Linked DNA regions of Lepisosteus oculatus. The protein of the gene in region 1 interacts with the protein of each later gene in a pairwise test. Links are inferred from orthologs where the notes say so. Each region holds a gene or a part of one and is shown in the gene's direction. Other genes may lie near its edges.

Region 1 (3,751 bases):
TTAATTGGTTTCTGGGACAATCAGCCCTGTGTGAGTCTGTGTGACCTGCGATGGACTGGTGTCCTGTTCTGTGTGTGTGTGTCCTGCGATGGACTGGTGTCCTGTTCTGTGTGTGTGTGTGTGTGTGTGTGTGTGTGTGTGTGTGTGTGTGTGTGTCCTGCGATGGACTAGTGTCCTGTTCTGGGTGTGTGTGTGTCCTGTGATGGACTGGTGTCCTGTCCAGGGTGTGTGTGTCCTGTGATGGACTGGCGTCCCTGTGCCTGCTGCTCATCTGGACAGGCTCTGGCTGCTCCCAAGACCCTCAACTGGAAGAAGTGATTCGAAAACAGCCGGATGTCATTGTAATTTTAAATTTGACTTAAGTGTGCATCAATTCAGGTTGTGGAACAATGTGTATACATGGATCAGACAATTGGATTGGTAAGAAACACACAAAAAAGGGCAGTTTGAGTTTAGCTGTGCAGAAGGGGGTCTAATTAATTTCCCCTAAAGTATTTCTTAAAATCTGAGTCTTAGGGCTTCTTATAACAAGCCGTTGGATTAACTTTGAAAATGCAAGGGAAAAAGACAGAAGTGTCTTTTTTTGCACTGATATTTTACTGAGCATATATGATATAGGTCAATTTATGTTTTATATTTTAATGTAGTAGCTTTTAGGATCTCAACCCAGCACTGACATGTGGCCCTTTTGATCATATGTGACATTAATATCTAATTAATAGACATTGAATTAATGTTTGCTGGTGCAATTCAGATACGTGACATTAATTGACAGACTTTGATTTCATATTTGTTGGTACACCACTCAATATAGAGTAAGTCCTCATTTTAAGGACTACCACATTTAATTGACTATTGAGAACGCTTTCACATACAACACAGACGGCAAGTGATCGAACATTGGTCCACAAGGGGGCAGTGTGCACAAAGCAAAATAATTTCAGAGCAGCAAAAAGCCACATCAGTTCCCTGGTTATTTGTATAACACCGACGGTAGATAGGGATCTTTATTGTCTTTCATTTACATTTCCGAGATTGATAGTAGGGACGCACACAAATGAGACGCTATCTTTGATAACGAAATCGTTTTAAAACGAGGTTAGCGGTCGCCAGTGCGCTTTGGGTAGCGTACCCGTCATCCCGCGCGAGTGGTCAGCGGCGGTTTTCTTGAAGTCTCCCCGAAGATTAATCGGGATTTAAATGAAGAAACAAACAGACAAGAAGTCACCGAGTCCAGGAAATCGGCGGATTGATGCCGGCCCGGTTCTCAGGTAAAACGTCGCCCGTATTTTCTCTGTCTGTCGCTTGTTATCGCCTGTTCGTCATGAACTTGTCTCCCTTTGCGTGCTCGACTCTCTTTGAGAGAGATTTCCCCCTCGCCCCTTTGCAATGCGGGATCTGGAAGTAGCCCTTCTGAAAAGCTTGTATTGACTGAAGCCAGATGCTCTGTGCGCTCAGAAAGCAATGGTATCAATTACCCACAATAAGGAAATTAACACCTGCGCATGACCCAAAACAAAACAGGAGGCAAATTCGACACTATTTAAATGTGCGTCGGGCTGTGTAGGAGAAATGAGAAAGAGGCAGGTGTTTCTTTGAGTAAAAGTGGCTCATGGCGTCGGCTAGCTCGTCCGTCCTGGGGGTGTTCGGACGAGGGTGGCTGCGGGTTTAAAGTTTGCCGCTATCTGCAGGAGCCCAGCTGTGCTCCGACAAATAATTCTGCCCCAGAATGAGGTGCCCAGCTTTCAGGTTACAGTAGTTGTCGTTCCTGCGGCTTGAAACGGAAAAATCGTTTGTGAAAGTTTTCTCTTTCGTTTCCGTAAGAAACTAGTAATCCACGTGTCGGGAATGAAACTTGGGCCGTGAGTGTGAGTTCTTCACACTGGCCGGTGAAGAACCGTGTGCGGAGATTGTGTTTGTGAGCACGTTAAAGGCGGGTCATCGAGGCGCCTCTTGGCTCAAATCATAACATAACTTTATTAGCCCTTTACAATTTCTTGCATTAGGAATTTGTCTTTTCACATACTCCAGCTTGCTCTCCTTGAGACACACAGACGGGGAGAGAAGCTGGGGGTCAGAGCGCAGGGTCAGCCATTTATACGGCGCCCCTGGAGCAGTTGGGGTGAAGGGCCTTGCTCAGGGGCCCAAAGGAGTAGGATTCCTCTGCTGGCTGCCGGATTTGAACCGGCAACCTTCCAGCCACAGAGCCACCTCAACAGCTGTTAGGGGTTTCTTCCCGGATCTCCAACATCGGCCCTCCCAGGACACTGTCCTGACGACTCGGGCAGTCAGCCCCTTGTGATGAGGTGGACTGCTTCTGGCCTCAGTGGATGCAGTGAAGAAAACATGGCTGTACTGTGACATAAGGGGCACAGGGAGGGGAAACAGCACAGAGATGGGTCTGAAGTGCAGTAAAAGAAGTCGTATATGTTTGAATTGCAATTACGATGCTTGAGAACCGGTGTTGGATCCTACAGCTGTACTACCCAGTAGTAACGTGTTGGCGATCACCACTAGATGGCGGTACGGAGCCGCGTCGCGCTCTGTCTGTGGCCGTGTTCCCAGGTCTATAAAAATATATTTGACACAATGAAACCCCGAGAACTGGGCTCCGCACCAAATGCAACTTGAAACTTGTACTTTTATTTTTTAAAATCTTTTTGCTCCAACTGCTCTCCCCGCCCCCCCTCCAGGCAAATCAACTGACTGCAAAAATCGGCCGTTTGAAACTGTGCTGCACTACAGAGGCAGCTTAGCGGTATTCCAACAGTATCCGAATACCGTCTCTTTTGAAATGAATTCGTGTGCATCAATGTCAGCGTGCAGAGAAACAACATTCCCAGGAGAAAGACCAACGGGAGCTGGCTACACAAACAGGGCATGCTCCTCTGCTTCAGGGCTCTGAGTGGGCAGTTTTGTGATGGAGAAGGTGGTTTTCTGATCTGCGTACAAAAGAAGGGAAGAGTCCAAATACTTCATAAATAACTTAAGAAAGGTCATTAAATAACTGAGTTTAGAGTGTCTCCTTATTGGTTCATATGACATTTTTCTTAAATTGTTACAGCTGTACCAGTTGGTGCAGCTGGATGTCTTATTGGAACAATCTGAGAGGATGTGTTCTGCTCAAGTAGGCAGGGACTTGAACCCAAGCCCTACTGCACCACACTGCTTTGTTGAAGGCTCAGACCTCATTTGAAATGGGGTCCCCACCTGCAGTCTTTGTGGGTCGTAGTCCAGGACGTTCTTGGGAACCGTTTGAACATCAAGAGCTAAAAAGGGCAATGGGGAGGATTTAAACGGTACTATTCAGCATAAAAGTACGATTAAGACATTTTTAAAGATGAACACTTTTCTTTAGCTCAGATGCCAATCCAGAGGACGACTTCGAGGCCAATAGAGAAACCAGGGTCCAAGCAGAAGCTTAGAAGACATTGTGTTGAGCTCTGGGACGGGAGGCGCTTCCTTACACCTAGAGTTGTAGGGGTGTGGAGCAAACTGCCTGGTCATGTTGTACAGCCCAGTTCAGACAGTTCCTTCAAGAAACAGGTCGAAGGAAGTCCACTGATTGTTATTGATTTATGGATCATTATCAATCAGTTTCTAGCAAACAAATGAGTAAGATGAGCCCCCTCTCTAACTCTTCTCTGGTCCTGGTGTTCTTTCTTGTGCTGTTAAGCTGTTGGTGTGAATGAAGCACGAAGCTTGCTGGGTTAAGACCCCCGGTGTCACAGGTGGGGTCCCTGCTTTGCGA
Region 2 (3,751 bases), on another chromosome or scaffold:
CCGAGCTCCCTGTGGAAACCTACAGGAAAATGGGGAGAACATGCAAACTCTACACAGACAGCACCCCAATTCTGGATTCGAACCCAGGGCTGCAAGTTAGCAACGCTGACCACTGTACCATCACTTTGCTTCACGTACACAACGCCTCCACTCGGCCAGGACTAAAGACCAAATAGATTCAGTTCTTTTCCCTAGTCGGTACAGAACATTTCTTTGACTGTATGAATGTTTCTAGTGACTTTTTTTTGGCTAGACTTTAAAAAAAAAATGTCTTAGGACCCCTCTTCTTATAGTGACAACAAACGCTTGGGATTCCAAAAAAAATTAATCTATAAACCAGAAGAGCCCAAAGACGAGTACTGTTCTCCCAGTACTGTCCTTAAAAGTTAATCTGTCTGTGCCCTGCTCTTCCCCAACCCAACTCGGACTCTCGGATACCCAGAGATTCTGAACAGAGAGGCTTTTAAAAACGGCACGGGCGTGAGATTCATCCCTGTCCTTCGGGGCGGCTCTCCGGAACTCTCCTGCAGTGAAGAGAGCCGCACGCCGGCTGGACACGAAGAGGTCATTTTCATTGACCCTGGCCAGCCCCTCATCTCGCACTAACCTAAAATGACTTCGGGATTGTTGCAGCCGCGCACAAGTGATTACAAAAAACAAACTACGCATTCATCAGTCGGCACAGTAAAACCTGGGCACTTGGTGTCCCAAACACGCACCCCTCAGAAAACCACGCACACGCACTGTACAATAATAAGACCGAGCGCCGCAGGCTGCATTCCAGTTGTGTTGACTCACTGACGTCAATGGCATGCTACCGTACTGATCAGATAACACGAGCGATGAAAAATAGGGCTGTTTCTTTGTCCCGGGACATCGTGGCAGCAATATAGGCAAAATGTTCCAAACGCAAAAACCCACAAGGATGCATCCGTTTTCAATAACGGATCAGTCCAGGGTTTCCCAATCTTGGTCTACGGGTTAGCTGAGCTCCTGACTGAAACGAAGCCTTCACTGAACCAGCAAACACGTCGCCTGGTTACAACCTTCGCAAGTTTTTTTTTATCCAGCTCGGAGGGCGGATATTTTAAGTTACTCATGAAATACAATAGTTAAAAGTCAACCTCCTACACGTTTCGGAACTGAGAACACCTACAGAGTTTAAATTGACCTTATTAGTAGGTGCATTCAGGGTGAAATTATTTGAATGACTGCTCATTTGGACCCTTTCTACAATGGTAGGGACGTGCAGACTCCACACAGAAGGACCTCCGGGTCTGGCATCAGAACTGGGGCTCGGGAGCTGTGTCGCGGAGGCGCTATTTAAAACAGCTCGACTTTTTCCAAGCAGCGCGGGGGGGGAGATGCTTGAAAGAGGTTGCTTATACTCGCAGACATACGATGGTGAAAAAGCCGCATTCAGCCATTTTTTTCAAAACAGACAGCAGTCTAGCGAATAACGTTTAGCTGGGCTTCGCATAGTTAGCAGCCAGCTTTAGCGCACTAGTCGTGTGGCTTGGTTACAAAATACGCTTTTATTCCAGCTGTTAGCGGACTTTGCTTGCAGTTTATTGTGTCTGATTTCATCTCGGCGTCTGCCTGCTCTTCTGAATATTCGGATTTAAAAGCATACATACTAAAAATAATTATAATTTTCATGCCCGATTTGGAGCGCTTCAAGCTGACCCATACAATGAATCCTTTATTAAGTGCCAACGTCTTTCTGCTACAGCAACAGCAACAACAGCTTCAGCAACAGCAGCAGGCGGCCCAGCAGGACTCCTCGGGTCTGCTGCCGGACCCGGCTCATGGCGCAGGCGAGCCGGGCTTTCTCTTAAGCGAGCACCAGGGCTTTGCGGCCGACTCCCTCCCGGGGCTCGATTTGAGCTCCCTGCCGCCCGGGCTCGCTTACTTCCACCTCAACAACCCCCTCTACCGGCCCCCGCCTCCTCCCCCGGCCATGGCCCTGCGGAACGACCTGGGCTCCAACATCAGCGTCCTGAAAACGCTCAACCTGCGTTTCCGCTGCTTTCTGGCTAAAGTGCACGAACTGGAGCGGCGGAATAAGATTTTGGAGAAGCAGCTGCAGCAGGCGCTGGAAGCCGGCGGCGGGGGAGGGGGCCTGGGAAACGGAGACGGGAGAAGACCGGAGACCAGGGAGCAAGGCGTCCAGACCGGCTTTGTCGGGCCCATCTCGTTCCGACCCGGCTTGCTCAACTTCCCCAACTCCAACAGCTCGGTCTACCGGGGCCCGAGCGTCTTTACCCCAAGTCTGACCACGGTGCTGACCCTGGAGCCCACGAACCTGAACCCGGACTCGAACTCGAACCCCGATCCGAACTCCAGGTCGACCTCTGCGGCCGACGGGGCCAACGCCAACACCACTACCACCACCACCACCAGCACCAGCACCGGCACCAGTACAGGGACTAGCTGCGGCGTCAACTCCACCACCAACCCGCCGCCCCGGTTCTTGCCCGGGACAATCTGGTCCTACAACCACACTCGCAAAGTTGGCCCGGGTCTGGAAACCCGGGTCACCGGCCCAGGCGTGTCCTGGGTCCACCCGGACGGAGTCGGGGTTCAAATCGATACTATAACACCCGAGATCCGTGCCCTGTACAACGTGCTGGCTAAAGTGAAGCGAGAGAGGGACGAGTACAAGCGAAGGTTGTTATTATTATTATTTTATTGTTGTTATTATTATTGTTATTGTTTTATTGTTACTGTTTAATTCTCCTCTAGGGGCGCCTTACGGCTCTAGCGACATAGTTGTTGTACTATCGTGGCCGTGCTATAACGTTCTCGGGTCGATTTTTGCTTAATAATTGACCGGGATCTAATGCGGGTGTGTGATGGTGTCTCTTTCTAGATGACTTCATCTCTACAGGGTAGCTGTGCATAGGACATCTGCCCATGGGTCCATATGGGGTCTCTCAACTTTTTGTGTAGTAACACACACAGTACATATGTCTTTCAGTAGATCCACAGTGTCCCTTGGCTTAATCAGGGTCACATATCAGCCTCCCGCTGCGCAGCGGTCTGCTCCGCTCCAGGTTTTACCAGCTGCAGGGGCTCTTGTAGGGATGCCAACAGCAGGCATTTCAACACAGGCCTGCCTGCTGCTTTGAGTGTGAGTCAGCTGCCACTGTTAAGCAGGCGAGGTGTGTGCCTCTGGGGTTTTTGGGAAGATGTGTTCTCGTTCTTGGGGAAAGATCTGCTCTTAAACGTGAGGGCGCTAGGGGCCCGGGGAGAGTTTCTGGTCCCGTTCCTGTCACTTCTTGCAGTCGTTACAGAGGAGCTTGGTCATTCCACTAGAAATCCGGGGTGCAAATGTACCTCTGTTGCTTCTAGAGGGAGAGAGTCCGGGCTGCTGCTTTACTGTCACAGGCTGGGCGTGAAACCGGCCAGCTGTTTCTGAGCAATTCCAAATGGGAAGATTGGGGATCCGGCAGACCGACAGGACGACCCCCAACTCTGTGCCCCAAGACTGCCAACAGCCATGTCACCCTGCAGCTCCCAGCTGGCAGCCCCACTGGAGCTCAGCAGTGTGAGTCTGGCCAGTACCTGGATGGGAGACTCCTGGGAGAGCTAAGGCTGCTGCTGGAAGAGGTGTTAGTGGGGCCAGTAGGGGGCGCTCAGCCTGAGGTCTGTGTGGGTCCTAATGCCCCAGTATAGTGACTATACTGTAAAAAGGCACCGTCCTCTGAATGAGACGTAAAACCGGGGTCCTGACTCTCTGTGGTCATTA

What was found. The genes of interacting proteins can lie anywhere in the genome.
Region 2: the proteins of lmna (region 1) and iffo1b interact in binary tests that used the Homo sapiens proteins (3 or more experiments, as listed by UniProt). The link is inferred for Lepisosteus oculatus from reciprocal best matches to the Homo sapiens genes LMNA and IFFO1.

Annotation. Positions count from the first base shown.
Region 1 is NC_090722.1:3,108,300-3,112,050, forward strand, and holds the start of lmna (lamin), read left to right. Parts: upstream 1-1,134; 5' UTR 1,135-1,271; intron 1,272-3,751.
Region 2 is NC_090718.1:3,683,045-3,686,795, forward strand, and holds the start of iffo1b (non-homologous end joining factor IFFO1), read left to right. Parts: upstream 1-1,368; 5' UTR 1,369-1,657; coding exon 1,658-2,670; intron 2,671-3,751. UniProt on the Homo sapiens protein: Nuclear matrix protein involved in the immobilization of broken DNA ends and the suppression of chromosome translocation during DNA double-strand breaks (DSBs).